Linked DNA regions of Callithrix jacchus. The protein of the gene in region 1 purifies or fractionates together with the protein of each later gene. This does not show direct contact. Links are inferred from orthologs where the notes say so. Each region holds a gene or a part of one and is shown on either strand. Other genes may lie near its edges.

Region 1 (4,296 bases):
CCAGCTCGGTGACCGGCTTGGCGCTGCGGCACGGCCCGTCGGTCACGTAGCGGGTGAAGTGCAGCTCGCGGCAGCTGTACTCGGACACGTCTGCGGAGAGAGACACGCGTGAGGGTGGCCGCCCACGCGGCCACCACAGCTCTGGCCCGTCCTGGCCCCCTCCACCCCAGCCCTGCTTTTGCAAAGCCCGCCTCTCCCGGTCTCCAGAGGTTTTTGCCCCTGAACACCTATTGCAGGAAGGTCCCAGATCCTCTAGAGCTGGTGGAAAGCTCTCCTGCGCACCCTGTCTCCTCAGAGCCAAATGGCTGCTGGGGTGCAAACACCAGGGCTATCGCTCACTGCAGGTGGCATCTTGGGCAAGTTCCTTAACCTCTCTCTTCCAGTCTGTAAAATGGGCTGCCCCAAGCATTGTGAGTTAATCCATTAGGCACGCAATGCAGAGAATGCCATTTGGCACACACAGCTGGAAGCATCAGCTGTTATTATGTATTATTATTATTTCTCTCCTACGGGTCCTCTTATGATTTAAGCCACACTTATGCCGCAGGGACCCTGGCCTGGGCAGGGTAAGTAAGTACTCGCCACACCTTCTGCCTGGCTCTGGCTTTTCCCAAATTCCTTTCCCAGCCACTTGGGGGGAGGTGAACAGGAGATGAAGAAAGGAGTAGAGGTTAATTGAAGGTAATAAATCAGGGCAGCTGCTGTGGAGGTGACAGAAGGGGAGGTGATCAGGATAGGAATTCATTAGACTTGAAAGGAATCAAAGGCACAGTGTCCAACCCTCTCGTTATCAGTAAGAATACTGAGGCCCAGCCACAGAAAAGAACGTGCCCAAAAGACAGGGCTGTGTGATCCAGACTTCACTTCCTGGGGTCGCAGCACCTTTTGGCTCCCATAAGAGTGGAGGCTGTGCGTTCGAGCACTGGTGGGAGGCTGGGCTGGGGGACAGAGCTGAGGGCTGCTTTTTGCTCTAGTAGAGGCCTCAACTCTGACCAAAACCTACAGGTGCAGCAGCCACATACATTCACCCAGCTGTCTGCTGGGCACATTTCTTGTTCTGTGTTATTTGAATGGGCACCTCATGGTGATACTCCCTGGGCGGGCGGAGATTGGGTTTGGAGGAATGGCCTGATCCCCTGAGAACACCTTGACCATGTCTCCTACTGTGGACTTGGGTGGGAGCTTTTTAAATAGCTGGTCCTTGTGTGAGTACCAGTCCACCCCCAGAGGTTTCATGGGGATAGTTCCGATGTGACATGAAAGAATCAAAAATAGTCTTCAGACCAAACCAGAGAGGGGGCAGAGAAGGCCACTCCCACCCTACCCCCACTCTGAAGAGCAAGCACAGCAGGGGAGATGTGGCCACTGCCATCGTCTGGGGTTGCTTTCTGGTTTGCACCCTCACCTTTGTAGGGCTGGGATGTGTACTGGGGGGGCCTTTGCCCAGGGAAGGGGGCATTTTGGGGCTTTCCAAGAATAGTGCCCTTAGGTCAGTCACTTCCTCTGCAGATTGTGACTTTGTTTTGAGCATGTGGCTTCCTCGGGGCCGTGGCGCCTCAGGGAAGCCCAGCAAGGTGGACAGCTTGTGTTTGGGTTCCCTACAGCCCTTCAGGCAGTCACTGGAGGCCAGCTGACCTTGCCTAGAAGGGGGGCTGTGGGAGGAGGCACCTTTGCCCTCCATTTCAAAGGCACAGGGTCCTGGCTGGCCTCCCCTGTGGTGGCCCTTTTTAGCACCCCATAACCCCAACATGTTGTGAGGCAGAGAAGGCTGGGGTGCAGGAGCCTGGGCAGTGGGCTTCTCTGCCACCTGGATAATGGCCAGAGGGCAGTGAAGCCCTTGGTCTGAAGTGTCACTCCTGTCCCCACCCACAGCCCCGTGATTCCTGCCAACCGTAGAAGCAAATGTGCACACTGTCAACTGGGCTTCTCTGTGCAGGCCTGACAGGAACCTGTCAGGGTTCTCCTTTCCTTCTCCCTCCCCTGGAATGAGGCAAGGCTGGGACTGGGCTGGCCACTGAGGACAGATGTGCCTACTCCGGCACAGAGGATGCTGTGTGCCCTCTAGGACCTGGACACTGCTGCACCCATGTCAGGGGCTAAACCTGTGCCGACAATGCCCATTCCTTCAAATGCCAGCTCCCTGGGCAGGCCATGGGCAATGCACACTGCAGGGGTGCCTCTCTGGCCTTCCTCCCCACTGCTTTGTGGGGATCTGTCCCCAGCACACCTGCACACCAGGGCTGTCTTGCAGTTGAATCAAACCAAGTTCTTCTCCTCACTACCAAGTTACTGAGTGCCTGGAACCTGTTTCTTTCCCTTTGAGCTGGGGGTTCACCTCCTGGGATTCCTGTGTGGTGGGGACAGCCACAGGCAGCATAGAGTGTCTGGCACCCCACAGTTGCTGCTCTGTGGATGGGAGGCTCCCTCACCTTGTTCCCTCCCCAATGGTACCAGCAGTTGAACGTGGTTCCTATATTCCCAGGAGGAGATTCTTTGAAACCTTTTCTTTTTTGAGCCCCTGAGCCTGTTCTGATGCCCTGATGCCATACCCTCACCACCCCAGCCTCCTCCCTGCCCTGGACTCTCACTGACAGACTCCACCTGGCCTCATGCCCCTGCACCTGAATTCAAAGGCTGCACCAGAGCCATCCTTCCCCCGCCTCCAGTCAAAACTGTTCTTCCACCAGTGCTGGCAGAGGCCAGCAGTCTTCACTGGGTCTACCCCAGTCTTCAAAGCCTCCCAAAGAGAAGTTTCTAAAACCTCCCCAGGACCCTTTTACTAGGAATTCTCTCCTCCACCCCATACCTTTGGTCTCAAAAGGGTGGTGGGGAGGCCGCCCTCCGTTCTCCGCCCGGTTCATGGTCTTGTTGTTCTCCAGCTCTGGTGGAGGCTCGGGGTACTCTCCCAGCTCAGGGATGATTTCCGTGGCATCGTTCTTGAAGGCCTGCCACCCCTGGGCCTCCACCACACAGAAGGCTGCGTGCACCAGCAGGCAGATGAGACATAGGGCTAGAGGGAGCTGCATGGTGCCAGCCAGAGGAGGGCACGCAGCCTTCCAGTAGCACAGGCTCTGGTCCCCAGCCGAGACACGGTTGCCTTTTTAAAGCCCCCCTCTGCCTCATGCCAGCCAATGAGGACAGGCTGGGGCAGGGCTGGTCCCCTGTTTCCCTCAGCCCCGGGGGGAGGGAAAGGGGTGTGCTCAGGGCAAACCCTCCCTAAAGACTTCTCCTCTAGCTCAGCAAACTTCCAAATTGCTGCTGGCACTCCCAGGTGACCCAGAGAGAGGGGGCGTGTGAGGCTTGGCCCAAGCCTGCTCTCCAGCACCTCCCACGTGCTGGTGGCTGTGGTTTTCAGATATCAAAATGAGCTCCGGCTTTTAATTGTCCCTGGGCCCTCAGGCATTCTCAAAACAAGCCAAGTTCATTTGCCACCCCACCAACAAATGGCCCACAGGGTGTCTGTTTGACCCCCATAGACCCAGCCAGAGGCAGAAAGATGCTTTTTAAGAAATCCCATTGGTCCCAACTCCACAAGTCTCAGCACTGACTGTCCTGACCAAGGAAGCCTCTCTCTTGGCATTTTCTGGAAGGCAAGAGAGAGAACTAGAGGGCCAGAGCAAGGGTGGCCACTTGGGAGAGGGGACAGGACTCTGGTTACGAGTGGAGGATGTGCTGGTCACTCAGGCTCCCGTGATGTGGCTCACAGAGGAAATCCCAGCTCACGCTCCTCAGGGATCCTGTGCACCGCGACAGGCATGACAGGCACTTCCAAGCCAGGACCCTCACTGTGGCTCACAGGGGGATGGGCTGAAGACAGTCATTTCCCAGCCAGGCTGTGGGTGCGAGCAGATAACACCAAATTCCTTTCCTTAGCAAAAGCTATGGCCAGCATTTTTTAGTGCTGACATTTTTTTTTCTCGCCTTCCATCCGGTTACATTTTTCAAAAACAGTTTCTGGTCCTATATGGGAATCTTCATTGGTGCATACCACAGGTTGTGTTCCATGAAGCCACCCCAGGACCAACCAGTCACAAAGCAGCTAAGAGAAACTTGGCTCTGCATAGGATGAGGGGCACAGGACCCGGGGGCAGGTAGAGGCAGTGGGGAGAAAGGTTCACGCCTGAGGTGCAAGAATAGAAAGGAGGGCAGGAGGAAGCTTTCATTGAAGACAGATTCTTTGAGGATGAGCAGCTCCTGGGAAGAGGCTGCCCAGATCCTCCTGGTATTTTAACTGGGCAATGAATGAATCAGTACGCCCCACCTGCAGAGCCTCTGCAAGGCCTTTGCCACCTGCCT
Region 2 (3,805 bases), on another chromosome or scaffold:
AACTCCCGTTGGCTAGCGCTGCCTCGTAACCCCTCAGCAGAGCTACCCCTTCCCTTCCAGCCCTCGGGGCTTTCTGCTTCCCTGGAGGGGCTGTGAATGAGTTTGTGTTTGCTCCTGGGATACTGGAAAGCCACCCACTGGATCACTGGGGTGGAAAATCCTCCCAGCCTGGGAGAGGCTGACACTCCCTATGGAAGACATGGCGGGCGTACCTGGGTGGGGCGCGGCACCCCTGCCCACCCAACCATTGGCCTCCTACCCTCGCTCTGCGTTGACGACGATGGCCCTGGGCTTGTCGCGGTCTCCACGCAGCACCACCCCAATGGCTTCCCCGCTCAGCCTGTGGACGTTGATGGTGTTGGTGGCCTCACATGTCCAGAACAGCGTCCGGCTGTAGATGTCGATGCTGAGGTCGTGGGGCTGCCTGTCTGGGTTTTGGGCTTGGCTCAGAGAGGTCAAAACAAAGGGCTGTAAGACAAAGAAACCGAGACAGAGTCGTAAGCACTGGCAGAGACCCCAGGTACTGGTAGAGGCCCCCAGGCACTGGCAGAGATCCGTGGGCACTGGCGGAGACCCCTGGGAACTGGCAGAGACCCCCCAGACACTGGCTGGAAACCCCCGGGCACTGGCGGAGACCCCCGGGGCACTGGCAGAAACCCCAGGCACTGAAGGAGACCCCCCAGACACTGGCTGGAGACCCCCAGGCACTGGCGGAGACCCCCAGACACTGGCTGGAAACTCCCAGGCACTGGTAGAGACCCCTGGGCACTGGCTGGAGACCCCCGGGGAACTGGCAGAGACCCCGGGCCACCCCCTCCCCAAGGGAAGGAGGCCAGGTATGGGGTAAAGGGCAGGTGATGGTGGGGGACAGGTGAGAGTGAGGGACTAGGTGAAGGGGGGGAAAGGTGACAGTGCAGGGTCGGGTGAGTTGAGCAGGTGAGGGTATAGGGCAGGTGAGGGTCCAGAGGCTAGTACACATGCAGGGTAGGGGAGGTGAGGCTGGGGGCCAGGTGAGGGTGGGTGGGGCAGGTGAGTGTACAGAATGACCCGTAGCCCCTCTTGGGAAGGCAGCCACATCTCTCAGTGGCTCTCAAGAACTCTCCCTCCCCATACTGTCCACGGTCACCACCCAGGAGATCCTCTGAGTGCTGCCTGAGCCCAGGCCACCCTCTGCATCTCAGGGATGAGCCTGGGCTCTTGGAGCCTGTGACACAGCATCCCTTCAAAGGGATCTTACTGAACTGATGTAGGAGGAGGGGACGGCCCAGAAGCCTACTGCCCCTCGGGATCTGGTCTCTTTGGGTTACCCTGAAAGACAGCTGCATCCAAGTTCCCGACCGAGTGACAGCCTGGAGCACCTGGGCTGCTGCCACTCAGGCCTGAAGGAAAAGCTCCCCTCCCTTTCCCTTGAGTCATCATCTTAGGATGGGGCTCTGACTGTAAGTTTTTTCAGACTTTCTTTATCTAGGTCTTTCAGCAGTTAATAAAACAGGGAGGCAGCAGCGGCTCACACCTGCCATGGGGAAACTGAAGTGGGAGAATCACTTGAGCCCAGGATTTCAAGACAATTCTGGGCAACATAGCAAGATCCCATCTGTATCAAAAAAAAAAAACCTAAACCAACCAACCAAAAAAAAAAAAAAACCACTAGCTGGGTGTGGTGGCACACACCTGTAGTCCCAGCTACTCAGGAGGCTGAGGTGGGAGGACTGCTTGAGCCTGGGAGGTTGCGGCTGCAGTGAGCTGTGCTCATACTACCACACCCCTGCCTGGGTGACAAAGTAAGACCCTGTCTCGAAAATATGCAATTAAAACAAACTCTCCAAGAAGATAAAAAGAAGCTTCTTCCCAGGTCCAGTCTCTTGGACCCAGATGGAAAGGGTGCATCCCTCCCCTGTCCCCCACCCCCCGCCCCACACACAGAGCAGCCTCTGGTCCAGCCTTGCTGGGCACCTGCAAAGACATCATCACTGTCATCTGGACACAAAGGACCACGTGTCTTTGTAGAAAGCAACATCCACATCACCGCAGAGCTGTGGACCCCAGGGGGCTGTGCGTCAACACCAACTGAACAAATTCTTTCCTAAAAGTCACAGAGCTCCCTAGCTGGGGACTCTGGCCTGGCACAGCCACCAGGCTGGAAGACAAGCAAGATTCCAGTTACCCTGGCCAAAATCAGGCTCACCGTGGAGGGCGGGTCTGTGGGAACCAGATGCAAAACCAGACTTTGGGACGGCAGTCTGGAGAAAAGCCATCTGAGAAACGCGTACTGTGCCACACAGTACATGACACCCCGGCCACACTCCTCCCGGCACAAAACAGCACAGCAAACTTTACACAGCTGGCCAGTTTCGTAAACCCTGAGCTCTCGTTTTAATGAAGTACAAATACTTGTGGTTAACACAAACTTTCTTACGTGTGGCACCACAAGCAACGCGACTTTTCCTCACTAGTACGAAAACTTCCCCACGGAAGGAAATGTCCATAGCAGCCTTATTCATGGCAACTATGAGGTGGAAGCAACCGAGCACAGACAGGCAAATAACAAGATGTGGTCCATCTATCCACAGACTGACATATCCTTTTTCTTTTCTTTTTTTTTTTGAGGAGTTTCACTCTTGTTGCTCAGGCCAGAGTGCAATGGTGTGATCTTGGCTCACTGTAACTTCCTGGGTTCAAGTGATTCTCCTGCCTTAGCCCCCTGAGTAGATGGGATTACAGGCACCTGCCACCACGCCCAGCTAATTTTTGTATTATTAGTCGAGACGGGGTTTCACTGTGTTGGCCAGGCTGGTCTCCAACTCCTGATCTTGTGATCTGCCTGCCTTGGCCTCCCAAAGTGCTGGGATTACAAGCATGAGCCACCGCGCCTGGCTTGTTTTTGTTTTGAGACAGAGTCTCACTCTGTTGCCCAGGCTGGAGTGCAGTGGCACAACCTTGGCTCACTGCAACCTCCGGCTCCTGGGTTCAAGCAATTCTGCCTCAGCCTCCCAAGTAACTGAGATTACAAGTACACACCACCACACCTGGCTAATTTTATATCTTTAGCAGAGCCAGGGTTTCACTATGTTGGCCAGGCTGATCTCGAACTCCTAACCTCAAGTGATTTGCCCACCTCGGCCTCCCGAAGTGCGGGAATGACAGGGTGTGAGCCACCACGCCAGGCCTTTCAGTGAGTTATTATCCAGGCTTTCAGGAAGGAAGTTCTGACACAGGCTACAACACAGATGCACCTTGAGGACATCATGCTATGTGAAAGAGGCCAGTTATGGAAGGGCAAATATGGATAATTCCAATTATCTGAGGTACGTAGAGAAGTCAGAGAGAGACAAAAGTAGAACGGTGGCTGTCGGAGGGAAATGCGGAGTGGGGGTTCCAAGCAGACAGTTTCAGTGCGAGAAGGTGAAGTGGTCTGGGGATGGATGGCAGTGACGGCTACAATGTGAACTGAATGCCAGTTAACCGTCAACTCCAAAACAGGTCAAACAGGCCAGGTGCGGTGTGGCTCACGCCTGCCGTCTCAGCACTTTAGGAGGCCGAGGTGGGCAGATTGCTTGAGTCCGGGAATTCAAGCCCAGCCTGGGCAACATGGTGAAATCTGTCTCCATATAAAATACAAACAATTAGCTGGGTGCGGAGATGCATAACTTAAGCCCGGGAGGCAGAGGCTGCAGTGAGCCAAGAGTAACTGCACCACTGGACTCCAGCCTGGGCAACAGAGCGAGACCCTGTCTAAAAAAATTAAAATAAACAAAAAAAAAAGGCCAGGCGCAGTGATTTACATCTTTAATCCCAGCACTTTGGG

Evidence for each region.
Region 2: the proteins of SOST (region 1) and LRP5 purify together in Homo sapiens (affinity purification with mass spectrometry; 3 studies listed by BioGRID and IntAct, counting the BioPlex papers as one, with this or other methods). This does not show direct contact. The link is inferred for Callithrix jacchus from reciprocal best matches to the Homo sapiens genes SOST and LRP5.

Annotation. Positions count from the first base shown.
Region 1 is NC_133506.1:70,626,957-70,631,252, forward strand, and holds the start of SOST (sclerostin), read right to left. Parts: upstream 3,074-4,296; 5' UTR 3,027-3,073; coding exon 2,807-3,026; intron 91-2,806; coding exon 1-90. UniProt on the Homo sapiens protein: Negative regulator of bone growth that acts through inhibition of Wnt signaling and bone formation.
Region 2 is NC_133511.1:125,303,278-125,307,082, reverse strand, and holds part of LRP5 (low-density lipoprotein receptor-related protein 5), read right to left. Parts: intron 469-3,805; coding exon 260-468; intron 1-259. UniProt on the Homo sapiens protein: Acts as a coreceptor with members of the frizzled family of seven-transmembrane spanning receptors to transduce signal by Wnt proteins.